Elephas maximus indicus: one gene and its partners. The protein of the gene in region 3 purifies or fractionates together with the protein of the main gene of each other region. This does not show direct contact. Links are inferred from orthologs where the notes say so. Each region holds a gene or a part of one and is shown on either strand. Other genes may lie near its edges.

Region 1 (7,020 bases), on a different chromosome or scaffold from region 3:
ATCGAGTTGATTCCGACCCATAGTCACCGTATAGGACAGAGTAGATCTGCCCCATAGGGTTTCCAAGGAACTGCTCATGGATTCAAACTGCCCACCTCTTGGTTAGCAGCTGTAGCTCTTAACCACTGTGCCACCAGGGCTTGTAAATGTCTCTTGAGAGAATAAATACGTTTAAAACAGGTTTAAATCAACACACACAAGAACTCTATCTCTGGCTTCCCACTTACAATTTTTAAAATATTATCAAAAGGAGATGCTCTTTTTTTAAGATCCCTTATTTTTTTCTTTTCTAATTTTTGTAAAGGAAGTGAATCTTAGTGAGTACCGAGAGAATGTGTAAATTCGCAATAGGTGACAACATCATAACACTGTCACAGGAGAATTCACACCTATAGAAGAGCCAGTTGAAGAACAAAGTTAGTTTTGAAAGGTTAGAGAAAAAGACTTTTTGAAATGTCAGATCCACTCTACAAAATTGACCAGCCTTGGCATCAGCCCTATAATCTACCTGGGTCTGAGAATAGCCTAGGGCATTTGAAATGAAGACAATTAGCACCTCAGACAGGGCATCCCCATGCAAAATCCTGTCACTTCTCATAGGCTTCAGGAGATGACAAGCTTGAATAGGAAGATACTTTCAACCTTGGCTGACAGTTTTTCTAACTTCAGTGCTTTTATATTTTATTTAAGTGGCATCTATATTATAAAAGGCTGTAGTTTGCTGGAAACTGTGAAGCTCTCTTCCTCTACTTCATGGTTTTTATTCTCAGTTTATTTAAAAAAAACAACAACAAAAATCGCTCCCCTATTGGGTGAGACTTGAGGAAACAGCTCTTGCTTCTTGCACACAAACGAGCTCGGTACATTTCCCCTGTTTTTCTGTAAAGCATGCTTGGCTTTCCTTTAAAGCACAGGGTGTGAAAGCTGGAAATGACCTTAGGGGTCATCTGGTTCGACTCCATTTTACAGATGTGGAAGATGAGGCTGAGAGAGAGGAAGTGATTTAGTGGCAAGACAAGGAGCATAATTGGACTGTCATAATTACTGGACTAGTGTTCATCCCAATCAATCTTGCTGTTTCGAAGGTGGGCAGGAGGCACGTAGAGCTAAATGTGTGTGTGTGTGTGTGTGTGTGTGTGTATGTTTGTAAGGAGCCCTGGTAACGCAGTGGTTAAGTGCTTGGCTGCTAACCAAAAGATCAGCAGTTCAAACCCACCAGCGCTCTGTGGGAGAAAGGTGTGGCAGTCTGCTTCTGTAAAGATTACAGCCTTGGAAACTCTATGGGGCAGTTTTATTCTGTTCTATAGGGCCTCTACGATTCGAATCCACTTGATGGCAATGGGCTTGGTTTGGTGTGTGTTTTTGTGTATGTGTGTGTAAAATAGCATTTCAATATTTTTTTCTTTTATTTTCTTGAGAGCATTAATTTCATTTATTCAACAAATATTATTGACTCGATGGCAACCTACAACAACAACGACATACTCCAGTACCGGGGATACAGTGGCGAACAAAGCCTACGAAGTCCTGCTGTCATGAACCTTAGGTTCTAGTGGGAGAGACAGAAAACAAGCAATTAGTCAACTAATTCTGCTTCCAAATGGGCAGAATCCTAACCAATCCTTTTTCAGTTGGTGTCTCCACCATGTCCATGGCTCCTCTCTCTCATTTTTTTCCCCTCATTTCTTGTGGGTATGGAGAGAGAGGAGAAAAAGAACCATTTCCACGCCTCTTTTCTCTACATTTCAAGCTCAGTGTGAAGCTTTGAATTGCTAAAGTCAAGTGTTTGGTTCTGTTGTATATAGGGTCCATATGAGTCGGAAGCGACTCAATGGCACCTAACAACAACTACAAAGTCCGGTTTAGTACCGGTGTAGCATTACAGTGAAGATGTCTATTTTTCAACACTGCAGTAGTGGGCAGCTGGCTTAGCTGTCAGCTTGCTTGTGAGACAATGAGGCACTGGATATGGGAGTTGTACTATTACCTTATAATTTCTCTGTTCTTTTTTCATACGATCTTAGTTGTGCTGGAACCCATTGGACCTGGCTGCTTTGACAGGTGTGCTATTTTAGCAACACAGAAAAAAACACAGAAAGAAAAGAAGGATGTATGGTAAGCTTTTGCTGTCAGATCTAGGTTGCTCTGTTCCTAAGTTTGTGGATGATTTGTTCAGGGTTGTTCAGAGACAACAAAGGTTAGGTTTTGCTTTTACCTATGTGACACTGAGTGTTCTTACGGTTCACTTCACAGGCAGGCTGTTGTCCATACAGACTGATATGAGGGGATCCCCTTCCCTATCTTCTCCTTTCACGTTTGAAACCCCACCATTGTGATTCATTTCTCTGGGTTTAACCATTTACCCTCTCAGAATACAAAGAGTCTGGGGGCGGGGGGGCGGTTAGCTTCTCCAATCCTTAACATTGGAGTATGCATTCACTTCCCAGATCGGTCTCTTCCTTGACCCAAAGCCTGAAAAGGGGCGAGAGGTGGAGTTGGGCAAAAACAAGTGAGGTTGGAGGATGATGAGACAACTTCTGCCCAGTTCCCAAGATCCATCCCCATATGTTATCTTGAATGCTGTTTTTTTTTTTTTTTTTTTTTTAATTCTTGGTGTTGAAAATGACTGCAGAGGCTTATGTTTACATAAACACTTTAGGTTCAACACTAAGGTTGACAGACTCTACATTAGTTACTGTTAAGGCTGGGCACTCTTCAATCAAGGAGAGTGGCTACTAGTTGCCTCTTAAATCTTAGAGGATTGTTTGTTCTTAAGCATTTTGGGTAGGGAGCAAATATCTGGTTGTGGTATAAGGCAGCTATGTGCATCTGATCCATTGGTAAGAAAACGTGAGGAATAAAAATCATTCTTCCTACTGAGCTCCCGGCCTTGCTATGTTCTCAAAGAACTAGGCATCGAAGTAATGGAAGGTATACAACAGGCTATTTAAATTCTGATTAAAAAAGTATTCTACATGACCTAAACGTACATGTGTAAGACCATTCAGCTTTAGGCATTAAACAAAGTCTTATTTTATTGAAAATGGAGGATGTTTTGGGGAAATATTGCTTAACAGTGCATTTTGAACTAGAATCAATGATTTTTACTTCAGAGAAGGAAATGAGGTTGAAATAAAAAAAAATTAACAACAGTTTAGCATCATTTGAAGAAAAAAACATATTCTCTAGAAACAACAGAGAACAAAATTAACAGCGCAATTGTCACCATTTGCAAAAAAGATTTAAAACAGGTTTTATGCCCCAGGTTCTGAAGAAGGGCCCTATATATCAAAGGGCACATACGTGTCCACATAAAGGCAAAGCACCAATTAGCTGATTCATTCTCTCATCTATGATCCATCAAATAGATAAATCTGGAACATTTTTGGACACAGACTGTGATTTCTGTACCTCAGCCAGTACCTTGGGATTTCGGACAGGATGGTAGGAAAAAAATCAATATTTGGTCAGGCCTAAGATTGCTCAAGATGGCTACATGAGGGAGGAGGAGGAGGAAGATGAAGGGTTTACCCAGTGTCCACTGTTCACCTACTACCTCTCCTTCTGTAGGAGCCTCGTGGTCATGTTCAGTAATAACACCCATACTTTTGGTGTTTTGATCTCAGAGCTTTTAGTCCTTCCATTCTCTGTCAGTATGTTAGCGCCCCACATGAGGGCCATATTCAATTTGCCTTTATCAAGCATCCCTTTGGGGGCTAGTTAAGCTGAGTTATCCTTGGTGGCCCCTGAGAAAACTGGAAGAACAGAAGCGCTGCCAAGGGTTCCTGTCTGTGTGCAAGGTCTGCATTGGTAGTGCAGCTCAAACCCTGTTGCCAGGACTTTCTTCCCTTCTCCATATGATTAAAGTGTGGGGAAAGGGAGGTGAACCTGGTGGCAATAGCCAAGCTGCTAAATTGCTGAGTTGGTCTTAACCGAAGTGTGAGAAGGAGGTTTTAAGGCACGTCGACAACATCCTGTTGTTCGGCTGCTTCTCTCTCTTTTTCACACATCTGGCTGAACTGGGATCCAGGTGGCTGACTAGTGCCTAGCCGTAGAAGCTGTGGCTTCTCCCTTCTCCCTTCCTCCGCCTCGGCCTGCCCTAGAGTCCACCAGGCCATGGAGGCGGTGACTGTGTATCACGGCAAAATCAGCCGAGAGACCGGGGAAAAGCTCCTGCTCGCCACCGGTCTGGACGGCAGCTATCTGCTGAGGGACAGTGAGAGCGTCCCGGGCGTGTACTGCCTGTGTGTTCTGTGAGTACTTCGCCGCGGGGGGCCCAGGACCTGGCCTGCAGCAGTCAGCCTTGGGCCTGTCAAGGGCACGGGCTATGGGTGGGGGTGGCCAGGGCACGCAGGCAGGGGTAAAAGAGCAGCCGAAGCTCCAGGGGCCTCCTCTGCTCGCTCAGCGGCCCCGAGGGCGCCTTCTGGCCCAGCCTGGGGCCGTAGTGGACCACACTTTGACCTAGACAGCTCGCTGGGGCTTTCACGTCCTGGGCTCCTGGTGCTCCAGAAGGACCTCACCAGGGCCTTTTGGGGGCAGCTGCAGAGAATGCCGTTTTGGGTAGGAAAACACGGCCTGGAATTTACTGTCACTCCAAAAAAGATCCAGGCTCCCGGACTCTGCTTTGCCTTCAAGTTGGAGGTCAGCAAGGTGGAGCCTGGGAATGGTGGATTGGCCATATTTGGGGTCACCAGTCCCGAGAAAAGGAAAGGCCTCTCTTCAGCCAGCTTTCTTTAAATGATTTTGGAGGCATCATCCCAAAGGAAGACCATGGAATTCAAGGAAAGGAAGAAGACTCAAAAACTGAGTCCATTACTTTTGAGAATGCAATGCTACTTAGGTTGGCATGGCTGAGAGGGGGGATGGTTGTGAATAAAACTGTTTCTCTGGGTCTGCTTATTTAGCTTCCTTTAAAGGAATTGTGTGGCGGTTGGAGGTTTCAGAAAGGGGACCCTTTATTTGAAAAAAGCCAAGACTGACAACAGTCATAAAGGGCACAGAGGGAAAACGCTCTTGTTATGATTCAACCTTGCCCTTGGCTTAGACATGTCTCAGGCTAAATTGCCATTTTGAAACAGACACACCTTCCTTTGTTATTGCTCCAGGGCTCCAGAGTCAGGCAGATCTGAGATCCAACCCTGTGCTAGTCAGATGCTAGTCTTGTGACCTCTGGCAAGTTAACCCCTCAGTCCCTTTGATTTGTCATCCATAAAATGGGTGTAATATTTCACAGGACTGTGAGGATTAAATGCCATAATGCACATAAAAAACTTAGGACTGGACCTGACACGTAGTAAATGTTCAATAAGCGTAAGCTAGTGTTATTATTACTACCTTCTTCTATTTTCAGTTTGATTTCTTTTAGTACTCTGTGTGTGTGTGGGGGGGGTATTTCCAGGGAAGGTCCTAGCCCGAACACTTTCAGCAACAGGGTAAAAGTACCCATGAAAATAGCAGCCCTGCACAGTAGTTCCTAGGCAGAAACAAAATGAGGAAGAATGCTTGGTTTAGTACCTAATGATAGACTGCAAGATTTTGCAGTACCGTTTGGGTCAGTGGAGAAAGATTACATTGAGGCTGGTGTTAGAGGATTTCCATTTGTATGTTGGCTTTTTAAAAGGGGCAATCCACGTTTGTGGCAACTCTCAGTTAAGCGGAATACCCTCACTCTCTGGCACGCTAAACCAATTTATTGTAAAGACTTCAAGGGAAATACGTGGAAGCTATTGAATCTCTTGAGCAGGTCTTCATGTTTGGCTTATATTATTGTTTTCCCCAACTGGAAACTAGGGAAGGCCAATGAAAGCCATCTGGCGCTCCCCGGCTTTTTTCTTATCAAAAGGAGGCAGAAGAGTGAGTGGGTGGTGAAAGCGGCTGCTTTAGAAAAGCTGACAAAGGAGATGATGGGCCTAAACCTAGAGGTACAAAAAGAAGGTACAAAAGAAGCCTGGGTAGGGAAGCATAAGATTGCTGTTTTTTTTTTTTTTTTTAAGTAAAATACAGAACTTTAGCCTTTTGCTCATGTAGGTCAGGGCCACATAAGTAATTAATTCAAGCAGGTGGAAAATTTTCAAACATTTAGCTTTCACCCAAAGTGAATCTTGCATAAATGCATTTTTTAAAATGACTGGTAGCTTTCCATGAAAACCTCCTATTAAGTAGCAGAAAATAGGGTTAGTAGGCAAATTGAGAGTCTCCAAGTGTGTCTTCTGATTGGTACACAGCGGCCTCCCAGTCTAATGGAACTGTTTAGAGTGATAGCAGGGTTTTCAGGCTCTGCTGCGATACAATGATACATTGCCTTTTAGCAGAGTTTCTCAACCTTTTTGAGCCCAGGGTCCCTCCCCCACCTTTTTTTTTTTTTTTAATTTTACCTTGTTCTATATGGAATATTTATTTAGTAGCATATATCCCAGGGTCCTTTTTGATGAAGAAATATTTATTTCATGGCCCCCATAAATATTTCATGCCCCCTTTTTGGTACTACACTAGAATAACAAAGAAATCTATTTTTAATTTGAAACAAACCACATACTCATTGTAAAACAAAACTCTTATGTTTATGTTAGGCAGTTGAAATAAAAATGTAAATGCTACCGTACACATGTCCAACAAGATATAGTTAACAAGCATGCATTGACTATAGGATTCACTTGGAAAGGTTATTCATTCAATCTTTTGTTAATTTCCATTATCCAAGAATGTTTTGTTGAGCTTTAGTTTCTGTCTTTTTGTTGCAGAAATAGCACATTGCGTATGCCTTTCAAACTACTGTGTGGTTTGGGGGCTGTTGAGCTGATTCCAACTCATAGCGATCCCATGTGACAAAGTAGAACTGCCCTGTAGGGTTTTCCAGGCTGTAATCTTTATGGGAGCAGATTGCCAGCTCTTCTTCCCGCAGAGCCACTGGGTAGGTTTAAACTGCCAACCTTTCCGTTAGCAGCCTAGTGCTTAACCATTGCGCCATCAGGGTTCCTTCTTTCAAACTCTCCTTGCCTCTTTCTCCAGTCGTGAACCCTC
Region 2 (7,683 bases), about 2.4 Mb from region 3:
GTGCAAGACTGTTTCCCAACACTCTAATTCCTCTAGGCATTTTCACAGTTTGAATTCTTGTCCATTGAATAGGAAAAAATGGCATCTTACTATTCTTAGGGGCCTGGTGGTGCAGTGGTTAAGAACTCAGGTGCTAACCAAAACATCAGCAGTTCAAATTCACCAGCTACTCCTTGGAAACCCTGTGGGGCAGTTCTACTCTGTCCTATAGGTACTCTATGAGTCGGAATCGACTCTACGGCAATGGGTTTGGATTTTTTTTTTTTTTTGGTGTTGTTTTAACTTGTATTTCTTTAATTATGAGTGAGCTGTAGCATTTTTCCATATCTTTCTTTTCTGAGAATCTCCTGCTCGTATGCTTTCTATTTTTCTATTGATTTTTTTAAAGTTCTTTATATGTTAATAAAAATTATTATTTTTTTTGTCAATAGTCTTTTAAGTTTTTTTTTTTTTTACTATGGTCACGTTTGTCATTCTTTTATGGTTTCTGCATCTCATTTTTTTGCTTAGAAAGGCTTTCTCAATTCCAGGACTTTTTTTTTTTTAATAATTTGTGTTTTAATATTTGTGATTTCATTTTTTAAAAAATAAGTTAAGTATTAGAACCATTTTGAATTAATTTCATTTTAAGGGATCTAGGTTTACTTTTTTCTAAGTGACTAGTCAAGTGCCCATTAGTCATCATTCATCTTTTCCTCTTTGATTCGAAACACTCTTTTTAGCAAATGCTAAATTCCATGTGTACTTGACCTTGTTTCTGGATTCTATATTCTATTTTATTGATCTGTCAGTACCAAACTCTTTCAATTTCTGTAGTAATTACTATAGTTTTATAATGTATTAATATTTTAATATTTGGTAGAGCTAGTCTTTCTTTTTTAAATTAAAGAATCTTTGGCTATTCCAGCAGGTTCCATGTTCTACCCCTAACCTAGGTCAACTTCACTGTCCTTGCAGCAAATTTTTAAAAAAATCTGTCTTTTCTCCTGGAAACATATGGAATATTTTAGATTAATTTAAGGTGAACAGACAAGCTTCCAAACTTGAGACCTTCCATTCATTCAAGATTTTTTGTAAGCTTCCCAGTAGATATTTAAGTCAGTCTTACACATGTCATAGTACATTTATTCCTGCATGTTACTATTTTTGCTAATGTAAATAGGATGTTTAATCTGAATTTTATCTAATACATTTTAAGCAAATTTGAGTGAGTCATATCATTTGTAACTATTGACCTATTCATGTCAATATGTTTAATTTAATCAATTAAGTTAATAATTAATCAATAACTCAAATTAATTAAATGCATGACTTGACCTGACCCACTGCTGTGGAGTTGATTCTGACTCATAATGACACTATAGGCCATAGCAGAACTGCCTCGTAGAATTTCCAAGGCTGTATATCTTTATAGAACCATACTGCCACATATTTCTCCTGTGGAGCAGCTGGTGAGTTCAAACCACTGAACTTTCAGTTAGGAGCCAAGTGTTTTAACCACTGTGCCACTGTGGCACCTTAATTAGATGCATCATTTTCCTAATATGGAATCAATTCATCTTTGATGGATTGGACCACACTTGGTCATAGTGTGTTTTCTCCTTTAATGGGCTACTGGATTCTATCTGTTAATACACCCTCTCCTTTCTTATCGACATGGTTAGGTTCCAAAGACCAGGTCATTATGTGAAATCAGTGTTACACGAAAAAGGAGGATGTCCACATCCGATGGCAAAATCGAGAATGATTACATCACAACATAACTGCCAGATTACGTCATTATATAACTGCCAACCCACTGAGTATCATGGCCCAGTCAAGCGGACACATAACCTTAACCATAAAAGCCAGCATTACTCTTGCCTCACACTCCAGCATTATTACTACCCAACATACGTTGTTAATGGGTAAAATAGTAGGATAGTCGATTTTTTCCTGTTGTCATAAATGCAAAATGTCAGATAACAAGATAGTCGATAAGTGAGGAGAAATCCAAAAACTCCTTGTTGTCAAGACAGTAATGACAATCACTTTTTTCTGAGTAGCTCCCATAGAGACACCTGGGTTTTAATTCCTTTAATAGAAGAAAAGTGTCAGTGGACTCTACAAAGAGAAGAGCACACAAAGATAGGAGGTGTCTACTGATAACTGTTTGGGATTGCTTTTTTAAACTGAGCATAAACAAGTTCCCTCAGCAAGGTAGCTCTGATACCCTGGGCTGGAATTCCTTACTCAATTCAAACTTTTTGGAAACACCAGATGAGTTTTAACACAAGCAAGTCATTTGAGACATTCAGGTCTCTGTTTCCTTACATACAAAATGGTGGCCGCTTATGTACACAAGAAGTGTACAAGGAAATGACACTTGTTGAAGTCCTTTACTAATCTGAATAAAAATTGTGAAATATTATTATAATTTAAGTATTCCAAGTAGAGGCAGCAGAATACATGTAAAAACTTGGTCTCTCAGATTGAAATCTCAAAAGGGTGCCCAACCTATTCCATACCAAATAAACAGACTTCTAGAGAAGAGAATCTTTCTCACTTTTCTACCTTCTCCCCACTCCCCCTCACCTCCCATGCTTCCTGCAGCCCTCTCCTTCACCCAGAGGCTCTGCTTAGGTGGCATTTACATCAGGGAGAGAGAGGGCAGATGGAAGAGCAGGGACAGACGCCTTCTTTCCAACCTCTCCCAGTCCTCACTCGACTCATTTGGGTTGCAAAGTCAGAGTGAAATGCAATTCCTTTTATATTTGGTTGCCATCACTACATTTGATGTAGTATTTGACTGTAAGGTTACTCACGAGACACAGAGGCACAGCGCTCCTGGCACCGACTCGCTGTCCCTCAACAGAAAGTTGCCATCTACTCCTTCCCTGAGCAGCAAGATCTCACAGTCTCTCTTGGTCAAGGGGCCGTGGTAGTAAGGTAGATCCATGGAGAGCCCCGTCGTATCACAGGCCACCTTGTCGGCCTGAAATCCAGCCCCAATTCGAGGGCCAGCTCTAAGGAGGGAAGTGGAGGCAGCTGGCCTGACGTAACTATGGAAACACTTCTTCCTTTTCTGGCCAGTGGGAGTGAGATGAAGTTTCTCTGTGAGACTCAGCCAGCTTCAGGAAGTGAGAGGGGCGGGGGTGATGAAGTGACCAAGCCATTTCAGTATATAAAAGGCTTGAGTGTAAGTTTCTTTGACTCATAGAATCGGATGGGAACACTTTCTAGCACATAGTGGAAACAGTGATGTTCAATGGCTGGGGCTGCAATGCTGAAGTTAAGCTTCCCAGAACTGGGCTGCAGCCTTGTGTATCACCCTATATTGCTAGGCTTTGCCTCCTCTGGCTGCTAGGATCCTCTCCTGAGAGAGCACCACCGCTTTTGCTATAACAGCTGCCCATTTTCTGCTGAAGCTACCTATGATTAGCCATGCTTAGCCCAGAATGGGTGCTCAAAAAGTATTTGGATGCTGTTATGAGGGTGGGGAGGAAGGAGAGGGAGGGTGAAAGGTATTCATGAGTTAGATAGTAGATAAGAATTATTTTAGGTGAAAGGAAGGACAATACACAATACAGGGGAAGTTAGCACAACCGGACTAAACCAAAAGCTGAGAAGTTTCCTGAACACAACCAAACACTTTGAGGGACAGAGTAGCAGGGACAGGGGTCTGGGGGACCATGGTTTCAGAGGACATCTAGGTCAATTGGCATAACAAAGGTTATTAAGAAAATGTTCTGCATCCTATTTTGGTGACTGGCATCTAGAGACTTAAAAGCTAGGGAGCGGCTGCCTAAGATAGGTCAATTGGTCCTGACCCACCTGGAGCAAAGGAGAATGAAAAACACAAAAAACACAAGGAAAATATTAGCCCAAGAGACAAAAGGGGCCACATAAACCGGAGACTCCATCGGCTGAGACCAGAAGAACTAGATGGTGCCTGGCTACCACCAATGACTGCCCTGACAGGGAACACAACAGAGAGTCTCTGACAGAGCAGGAGAAAAGTGGGGTGCACAACTCAAATTCTATTAAGAAGACCAGACTTAATGGTCTGACTGAGACTAGAGGGACTCTGGAAGAAGACATGGACCCTGGACTCTCTGTTAATCCAGAACTGAAACCATTCCCAAAGCCAACTCTTCAGACAAAGAATAGACTGGACTATAAGACATAAAATAATACTCATGAAGAGAGTGCTTCTTAGCTCAAGTAGACACATGAGACTAAATGGGCAGCTCCTGTCTGGAGGTGAGATAATAAGGCCAAAGGGGACAGAAGCTGGTTGAATGGACACAGGAAACCTGGTGTGGAAAGAAGGAGTGTTCTATCATATTATAGGGAGAGCAACTAGGGTCACATAACAATGTGTGTATAAATTTTTGTATGAGAAACTAACTTCAACTGTAAACTTTCACTTAAAGCACAATAAAAGAAATTTTTTTAAAGGTATTTGAATGCTGAATGAATTCAGATTTGTCCAGACACAATGGGAAAATTGAAAGGATGACATTTCCATGGGTCAAATTACATGAAAAATAGAAGACATCAATGCGAAGAGAAATCAACTGGACACCACTGGGAAGGACAGTCCATTTCGTGACTAAGGCTCCTAGCCACCGAGGGAAAAAGGCTATTTTTAACATCCTCAGGCATTGTGCCTTTTGGGGGAGTGACTGGTACAAGTGGAAGGGATAACTGGGTACGAAAACTTACCGCAGGAATGCTTCTTCCAGGTGGAAGAAAAGAAGATATTGGGCTTGGGTTTGGAAACCCCCAGTTCCTATGGAGTTCCCATTCTGGGGGACAGCAGTGATCTGTCCCCATGAAGAAAGACCAAAAAAAAAAAAAACTATCCAGCCAGAGACACCCCGTTTAGACCAGGGCACGTAGTGCTGATGAGAAAATCCTTTTTTTTTTTTTTTTTAGGCTGCTGAGACTTTTCCATCTTGATCAGTGGATACTCTTGGGAAAGGCAGGTAGTCACATGGCTTTTGTTTTCTGAGAGTGAGAGTTAGCCCTGAGAGTAATTCCCAAAGCCTCTTTGCGCAACCAGACCACCTGATGTAGCATTAATTTCAGATAAAATAAGCCATGCAATCATACCTATAATCCAATTTTTTAATTTGATTGCATTTACTTAGCTCTCACAGTTACCATCACATGATGTCCATCTGTATAAACTACTGTTTAAGTGAATCATTTTCCCTTTATCCAGCTGCCTCACCAAATATCTGTGGGAATCACTATATATCTCAAGTACATATCTATAAACATGTGCTCATGACTCATCCTTATTTCTCCTTCTCAAGAGCTCTGTGTAGTCTTGACCCAGATACTATCAGAGGGGCTGACAACAAACGACCGCAGGGTCCATGGTGGTGGCAGCGGCAGGCAGACCGGAGAGAGGCTGCCAAGGCATGGCATCAGTAGAGATGGTGTCACCCATCCCCCACTGTGGTAACTCAGCACTACCCCCCACCTCAACTGCCAGTCAGGGTCTCTGCCTTGACCAGTGAGAGAAAGGAAGAGATTTGCAGGGAGCTGTGGGGCTGCAGGACTGGAAGGGGCAGGGCCAGGCAGCTCAGAACTTGGCCCTGCATCGGGGCGGGGTGGGACTGGGCCCCTCCACCCACTGGGAGCTGGGGAGGTTTGACATCCGCCCTCCGCACCCCAGCCGGGTGACTTTATGAGTTACCACACTGGATGACACCAATCCTAGTGAAGTCACTTTCCAGAAAGTTATTTCATCTTGCTCTTCTGCCTACTAGCTGTCCTTCCAGGAAACGTCCTTGTTGCAGATCTTTGTTCTTCCTTGGAAACCTCACTGTTCTGCTGTTGGTGTAGTGGAGTTTCACTAACCAGGGAACCTGATATCAGAGAGATAGGCTTTCAAATCCAAGTTTATCTTCTTGTTACTTGTGTGGTCTTGGGCAAGTCTTAACTTAATTCCAGAGGAATTATAGCAATTGAGGATAGAATTATTACTGTTGGAAGACAAAATTGGGTACCAAGCTTGCTGTAAGGATGCTTTTTGACATAACAAAACAAACCCACTGCCATCAAATTGATTCCAACTCATGGCAACCCCATGTGTGTCAGAGTAGAATTGTGCTCTATAGGATTTTCAACGGCTGATTTGTTTTTGGGAGTAAATCACCAGGCTTTTCTTCCCAGGCACCTGTGGGTGGACTTGAACTTCCAACTTTTCAGTTAGGAGCTGAGCGCATTAACCATTTGCATCACCCAGAAACTCCTTGGTAGGAAATAATTGGGTGCATGCTCAGGCTCTTGGTCATCCCAGGGCTTTGCTTACTTTTTTCCTATTTCAAAACCCAGTACCCTTATATGCACTCATATTAAAAGAAATGGAAAATTAAATCCATATCGAGATAACATCTCTCATCTATCCATTAATGAAAATCAGAAGTTTAACAACAGACGGGGTTGCTTATGCTATAGTGAAATAGGATCTCTCATAGATCTTTGGTTAGACTACAAAGTGATTACAACGCCAGCAAAGGGAGCTTGGAAAAGTTACATGTACATTCACATGAACAATCTCAGTTCTAGAAATCTGTCACAAAATTATACAGGCAGAAGCAGCACAAAATGACTTATGCAAAAGGTAGTATCTTTTTAAATTTTATTTATTTTGTTGTTATTGTTGAGAACATACACAGCAAAATACACACCAATTCAACAGTTTCTACATGTACAATTCAATGACACTGATTACATTCTTCCAGTTGTGCAACCATTCTCACCCTCCTTTTCTGAATTGTTCCTCCCTCATTAATGTAAATTCACGGACTCCTAAGATTCCTATTTAATCTTTCCAGTTGCTGTTATCAATTTGATCCCATATAGATAGTTCTGTCTGATTCCATATAGATAGTTCTATTGGTCTCTATTCATGTGGAGCAACAGAGAAAGGAGGACAGTCAGGATTAGGAGGAAGATATGGAATGTGTGGCTAATTGCCCCCAAGAACAACTGCCTCCTTTGCCATGAAACCAGAAGAACTGGATGGTGCTCAGCTACCATTACTGAACATTTTGATCAAGGAATTTATAGCAGAATCCTGATTAAGGTTGGGGGGGTATACAGATATAAATAAAGAAAAGACCAAGATGGATGTCAGAGGAGACTCTGAAACTTGCTCACGAACATCGAGCAGCTAAAGCAAAAGGAAGAAATGATGAAGTAAAATAACTGAACAGAAGATTTCAAAGGGTGGCTCGAGAAGACAAAGTATTATAATGCCATGTGCAAAGAGTTGGAGATAGAAAACCAAATGGGAAGAACATGCTCGGCGTTTCTCAGGCTGAAAGAACTGAAGAAAAAAATCCAAGCCTCAAGTTGCAATAGTGAAGGATTCTGTGGGGAAAATATTAAATTACAAAGGAGCATCAAAAGAAGATGGAAGGAATACACGAAGTCATTATATCAAAAAGAATTAGTTGATATTCAAGCATTTTGAGAGGTAGCATATGATCAGGAACCAATGGTACTGAAGGAAGAAGTCCAAGCTGCCTGAAGGCAATGGCAAAAAACAAGCCTTCAGGAATTGACAGAATATCAATTGAGATGTTTCAACAAACGAATGCAGCGCTGGAGGTGCTCACTCGTCTATGCCTAGAAATATGGAAGACAGCTTCCTGGCCAACTGACTGGAAGAGATCCATATTT
Region 3 (6,989 bases):
TTTTGAAGCTGAAGTTTGAATGATTTACCACTTTCCAACCTGATCACTTCGACTTCAGTTTCAGTAGATCAGAGAAGACAAAGAGGATATTTAAATGACTGAACAGGCACATGAAAAGATGTTCAATGTCATTAGTCATTAAAAAAAAAAAACCCAAACCCATTGCTGTTGAGTCAATTCCTGCTCATAACGATCCTATAGGACAGAGTAGAACTGCCCCACAGGGCTCCCGAAGAGTGCCCGGTGGATTTGAACTGCTGATCTTTTGGTTAGCAGCCATCACACATAACCACTATGCCACCAGGGTTTCCCATTAATCATTAGGAAGATGCAAACCAAAACCACAATGAGATACCACCTCACTCCCATTTGAATAAACAACAACAAAAAAAACCGAAACCCATTGTTGTCAAGTCAATTCCGACTCATAGCAACCCTATATAGGACAGAGCAGAACTGCCCCATGTGGTTTCCAAGGAGTGCCTGGTGGATTCAAACTGCCGACTTTTGGTTAGCAGCTGTAGTTCTTAAGCACTATACCACCAGGGTTTCCCCCATTAGAATCGCAATGAGGAAACAAACAACGGCGTTGAAGGGTGTTGGTGAGGTTGTGGAGAAACTGGAACTCTCATTCTTTGCTGGTGGGAAAGTAAAATGGTATAGCCACTATGAAAAACAGTTTAGTGGTTCTTCAAAAAGTTAAACATAGAACTATCATATGACCCAGCAATCCTAATCCTAGGTATACACCCAGAAGAAGCCAACGAAGCACGGCAAACAGAAACCTGTACACCAATGTTCATTACAGCACTTTTTGTAATAGGTAAAATGTGGAAGCAACTTAAATGTTCATCAACGGGTGGATAAAGGAAATGTGGTATATACATACAACGGAATATCATGCAGCCATAAAGAGAAATGAAGTTCTAATGCATGCCACAACATGGATAAACTTTGCAAACATTATACTGGGTAAAGTCAGTCAGTCACAAAAGGACAAATATTATATGATCTCACTTATAAGGACTAGGCAAATATATAGAAATTGAAGTGTATTATTAGTGGTTACCAGGAGTGGGAAGGAGGGGGAAAAAGGGAAGTTTTTGCTTAGGGGACATTGAGTTTATGTTAATGGTGGTGGAATAATTTGGAAAAGGATAGCCATTATGGTTGCACAACTGAGTTATTCATGTAGAAGTTGTTGAATTGGCGGAGTTTTGTTGTGTATATTTTCACCACACACACACACAAAAAAAAAATTATTGAACACTTAAACAAAAAGAGAATTCCAACTCATAGTGATACTATAAGACAGAGTAGAACTGCCCCATAGGGTTTCCAAGGAGCACCTGGTGGATTTGAACTGCCGACCCTTTGGTTAGCAACCAAACTCTTAACCACTACGCCACCAGGGTTTCCTAAAACCCATTGCCATCGAGTCGATTCTGACTCACAGCGAGCCTATAGGACAGAGTAGAACTTCCCCATATAGTTTCCAAGGAGCATCTGGTTGATTCAAACCGCCATCCTTTTGGTTAGCAGCCTTAGCTCTTAACCACTACGCCACCAGGGTTTCCAAGAACGTAGGCATGAAAATTGTGGACTGCTTTGCAAATTAAGTAGTATCAAATGCCACACTGTCCAGCTTGTCTCTGGATGACTGGATAGGACCTGAGAATTCCACTTAGGTTCTACCCAGCTCTTTTCCTAATTTACTTGCATTTTCTGTCTGCCAGACCAGGGCAACCACGATAGGGTTCAAAAACTTGACCAGCCTAGAGGTTGCAATCTCCACGAAGCTCAAATTAAGGGAGCTACAGCTTTCAATGGTCCAGGAAACCAGAAACCAAGGTGCATTATCCCACCTTAAGAAAATCTTTACTCTTCAAGTTCCCTGGGTTCTAAATCGTGCCAGAAATTTACTATAGCATTTTCAGAGCTGTAAGACACACTAGAAATAATGATTCGGAAATGTCAAACACAGTCAATTTTTATACAAACAGGACAATTGTTTGCAGTTAATGAGATAAATATGTGAAATAATAAAGCATCCTCAAATCTATGTTAATGCTACATAGTTCTCCTTGTAATAACAACAACCAATTTTTATTTTATCCTTTATAGTTTACCCTAAAGCCATAAGTGAGAAAAACAAGATTTTTAGCTCAAGTTCTCCACCTCATTTTTGAAACTTAATTTATTCGTAAAGTAGGGTAATAATCTCTTCCCCATTTATTTTAGAGGGTTTTGGAGGATAAAAGCAGAGTACTAGCTCTGAACATGCTTTGAAAATAAAGGGATCTTATAGAAACGAGGGCCTGGTGGTGTAGGGGTTAAGAGCTACGGCTGCCAACAAAAGGTCGGCAGTTCCAGTCCACCAACTGATCCTTGGAGCAATTCTACTGTGTCCTATAGGGTTGCTATGAGTCGGAATCGACTCCACAGCAATAAGTTTCATTGATTTTTATAGAAATGAGGTTTTTACGGTGATAATCATAAGTAATGCATTACTATAACATGATAGAACAACGAAATATAATCAGGAGAGCGTATCTTTATCAAAAACCAAATAACACATTCTAATGGGTAAAAGAAATTGTTTTTTAAAATTTTTCAAGGTTTTAGATTATCTATGTTTTTGCTGGGCTCTGTGGGTGGGTCTACTAAGCGCTGACTGTCCTGAACAACGGGTTTTATCTCAGACCTTTGGAGACTGGGCACAGATAAAATTCAGAAACGTCAACTCCAGAGCTGAAAAATATTTAGGTTGAATCTTAGTTTCTCCCCAGCCTTTTTTGAGTACAGCATATACAGATTTTTTTTATACAGAGACTCAAGGTGTTTCTGTTAAAAACACACATCAAAAGGGCACTTCAATATCTTCCTCAAGGACAATTTCTAAAACTTTGTGGAAAGACTAGGAGAGGGTCAGCAAGGGTCAGAACTTACAGGTTTGCATGCAAAGCAGCAAGATCCACAGGCGGTGCTGAGCCATTTTCTTCCAGCGTCTAATCTTCTGTGGACAAGAAAGGCAGCCTTCAAGAAGAGAGTTTGTTTCACTTGAGTTTTCTTTTTATAGTCACGTTTTAAGAAAGGAAGTATGAGTTAACTGTTTTAAGGGGCACTGGTCTTTGTATTATGATACTAGTTTTTCCTATTACATAACATAAAGAGCCTGGTGTTAGTGTATATATTTATTTCTTCAACAAATATTTATTGAGTGCCTACTATGTGCCAGGTAAAAAAAAAAAACAAAACAAAACAATTTTTGTTTTTTTTTTACTACATGCCAGTACTATTATTCTAGGCACTGGCAATATAAAGATTAACAAAGAAGCTGATCTTTCTTGGTTAGTTGCCACTTAGTTACCATAAAGAGTTCACAGAGTGGTCACAGTTACACAAAAGCCCCTTGGAAATAAACTGGCAACATTAGGTTTTGGCTAGGTTACAAGGGGAAAAAAATCACAATTTCTTAACAGGCAGAACTAATTCCACAGGTTTTCTTACACAGAATGGATGAATATTTAGGCTGTTTCTAATTTTTGTCTATTGTAAAAAGTGCTGCAATGAACATTACCCCATAGAGTTTCCAAGGAGTACCTGTTGGATTGAACTGCTGACTTTTTGGTTAGTAGCTGTAGCTCTTAACCACTATGCCACTAGGGTTTCACTTCATCTGGGTGTATACGTAGGATTAGGATTGCTGGGTCATATGATAGTTCTATGTTTAACTTTCTGAGGAACCACTAAACTGTTCTTCACAGCGGCTATACCATTTTATTTTCCCACCAGCAATGGATGAGGGCTCCATCTTCTCTATAACCTCACCAACACCTGTTGTTTTCTGTTTGTTTCATCATTGCTATTCTAATCGGGGAAACACTGGTGGTGTAGTAGTTAAGAGCTACAGCTGCTAACCAAAAGGTCGGTGGTTCAAATCCATCAGGATCTCCTTGGAAAGCACATGGGGCAGTTCTACTCTGTCCTGTATGGTCACTATGAGTCAGAATTGACTTGATGACGATGTTTTTTTTTTTTTTTTTTTTTGGTTAATTCTAATGGGGGTGAGCACTTAACTATTGTACCACCAGGGCTCCTTGCTTCTTCCGTCAAAAACCAAAAACCCATTGCTGTTGAGTCAACTTGTGACTCATGGTGACCCTATAGGAGAGAGTAGAACTGCCCCATAGGGTTTCCAAGGGTATAATATTTATGGAAGCACACTGCCATATCTTTCTCCTGCAAAGCGGCTGTTGGGTTAGCTGGTGGGTTTGAACTGCTAACCTTTTGGTTAGCAGCTGGCACTTAACCACTGCGCCACCACTGCTCCTTGCTGCTATCCTAGTTTCCTGTATTTCTCCTCTTGCAACATTTATCACACTATATTGGAATTGCCTATGTAATCTTTAGTCTCCTCAGTAAGAGTATAAGCTCCATGAAAGGAGGGTGCTGGTTCGATCTTACCAGCTGCTCAGCAGGAGAAAAGACCTGAGGATCTGCTCCTGTAAAGACTATAGCCTACAAAACCCTACGGGGCAGTTCTATTCTGACATATAGGGTTACTATATGTCAGAATCCCCTTGATGGCGCACAACAATAACAACATAAGAGTAGCAGGGGCATCTAACCCTAACTAGGGGGGTTTGGAGAAGGCTACCTGATGGAACTCACAACCAAGCTGAGACAGATTGAAGAATGAGTCTCTGCTCACTTCACTCTTTTACATCACAAAAGAGATTCACTTCATCTTGTAGATCTAGTCTTGCCTTACTAACATAACTGCCTCTAATCCTGCCTAATTAACATCATAGAGGCAGAATTTACAACACATAGGAAAATCACATCAGATAACAAAATGGTGGACAACCTCATAATACTGGGAATCGTGGCTTAGCCAAGTTGATACACATTTTTGGGGACACAATTCAATCCACAACAGCAGCCAAGCTCATTAACTGTTTGTACTACCCGACGACCCGACGACAGGAGCTTAATAAATGGTAGCAATTAATATAATGATGATCATACCTTATTAGGGACAAAATAAAGTCACGATAAAGTTCAGAGTTCAAAGGGATTTTGAGACTATATGGTCTATTTTGCAGATAGGGAAGCTGAGGCTCAGAGAGGAAGTGATTTTTCCCAAAATCACTCAGTGAATTAGGGAACTCAGGTAAATATCAGCGTGTCACTTGCTAAAGATTGGAACTCATGGGCATGAGATAGCAGGCACAGAGAGGCATGCTTAGGCTGGGTTTGAGCCCCCAACCCTGTTACAAGAATAATTGTGTGTGGCCTTGTATGTGGGGAAGTGGAGGTGGGGTTGGTGATAGGTATAAACATCTGGACTCAGAAACCAAGCAGCCTGAACTTGGACCCAGCCATTTTGGGGAGTACTGGGAAAGCCGGGGACATGGCCCCTGGTGACCTGGGAAAAATAGGATTGTGTACAGCCTTTCCCGCTTAGAGAAGGAGTCCTCCAGCCAGCTAGCTCCTTTCTAGACAACTTAAGCCTTTGGAATCATTCACTGGACAATCCTGCTGATGGTTCCCCCACATATACTTGCTCTGTGTGGAAGAGTTGAGTGCCTTTATGTAGATACAATGAAATGAGCAGATATTTCAAAGAAGGGTTGAAAATAAAAATGAAATTTCCCAAATTCATTATGATTTCATTTCACAAGGTTAAACCATATTTCCTTCGTGTTTTTTTTAGCAAACACACTGTGATCACTAGGGTTGTGTATAAACTTGGCTGGGCCATGATTCTCAGAGGTTTGGTAGTTATGATGTAGTTTGGCAGTTGTATGATGATGTGATCACTTCCATGATGAGATTTGATATAATGTGATCTCCCCTATAATGGGATCTGCTGTGAGTAGCCAATCAGTTGAAAGGGAGTATCCTTGAGTGTGTGACCTGCATGGGATATAAGTGAACATTCTGCTCACGGGCTGTTTGCTCACTCTGCATCCTGCGGCTGGCTCCTGTTCATCTGACTCCAGTTCTTGGGACTTGAGCTAGCAGATTACTTGCAGCCTTGCCCACTGATCTTGGGATTCGTTGGTCTTCACAGCCTGTGAATAGGAACCCTGCTTTCTCACTTACCAGTCTTGGGTTCCTCAACCCCTGTGGCTATGTGAATTAGGAGAAGCCTCCAGTCTGACCCATGGATTTGGGACATGCCGGTTTTTACAACTGTGTGAGCCATTTTCTTGATATAAATCTCTCTCTCTCTCTATTTGTTTACATACTTTACTGGTTTTGCTTCTCTAGAGAATCTAGCTTAAGGCATGCTTTACTGAAATATGGAATTACTACATGTACAAAAACACATACCTATGATGTGTTAGTTGTATAGAGAAGTGATATGGAGACCCTCTTAGGCTGGGTTCTCCAGAGAAGCAAAACTAGTAATGCTTATAAATATATAGAGAGACATTTAATTAAAGAAACAGCCCACACGATTGTAGGGGTTGGAACGTCCCAAGTCCTTGGATCAGGATAGAATCCTTTCCCAATTCATGGAGCTGCAGAAGATGGTGAACCCAAGATGAACAGGTTGGAGAGCAGGGATTCCGCTCTCAAGTTGTGACGGTCGAGGAATCCCAAAGGTCAGCAAGCAAGACTTCAAAGTTTCTCCTGAGTCAGCTGCAGGGGCTGGCAAACCCAAGATAGGCAGGCCGGGAGCAGGACTCTTGCTCACAGGTTGTGACGATCGGCTAATCACAAGATGGACAAGTAAGCTGCTAGCTCAAGTCCCAAGAACCAGAAGTCAGACAAGAATCAGCTGCTGGATCCAGAACAACCCAAAAACCTTTGCAAGGTGAGCAGGAAAAGGAAGTAGACTTTGGAAGGCGGAGAGATGAAGAACTTACCCCCACCGGTACTGCTCAGCACATTCCATCATGGGAGTGATCACATATCAAATTTCAACAGGAAAGTGATCACATTATACAACTGCCAAAACACTAAGTATCATGGCC

What was found.
Region 1: the proteins of CD84 (region 3) and SH2D1A purify together in Homo sapiens (affinity purification with western blotting; 4 studies listed by BioGRID and IntAct, with this or other methods). This does not show direct contact. The link is inferred for Elephas maximus indicus from reciprocal best matches to the Homo sapiens genes CD84 and SH2D1A.
Region 2: the proteins of CD84 (region 3) and SH2D1B purify together in Homo sapiens (affinity purification with western blotting; 3 studies listed by BioGRID and IntAct, with this or other methods). This does not show direct contact. The link is inferred for Elephas maximus indicus from reciprocal best matches to the Homo sapiens genes CD84 and SH2D1B.

Annotation. Positions count from the first base shown.
Region 1 is NC_064846.1:32,313,347-32,320,366, reverse strand, and holds the start of SH2D1A (SH2 domain-containing protein 1A), read left to right. Parts: upstream 1-3,928; 5' UTR 3,929-4,116; coding exon 4,117-4,253; intron 4,254-7,020.
Region 2 is NC_064821.1:201,677,349-201,685,031, forward strand, and holds the start of SH2D1B (SH2 domain-containing protein 1B), read right to left. Parts: upstream 3,011-7,683; 5' UTR 2,939-3,010; coding exon 2,805-2,938; intron 1-2,804. UniProt on the Homo sapiens protein: Cytoplasmic adapter regulating receptors of the signaling lymphocytic activation molecule (SLAM) family such as CD84, SLAMF1, LY9 and CD244. In SLAM signaling seems to cooperate with SH2D1A/SAP.
Region 3 is NC_064821.1:199,305,208-199,312,196, forward strand, and holds the start of CD84 (SLAM family member 5), read right to left. Parts: upstream 3,035-6,989; 5' UTR 2,996-3,034; coding exon 2,950-2,995; intron 1-2,949. UniProt on the Homo sapiens protein: Self-ligand receptor of the signaling lymphocytic activation molecule (SLAM) family.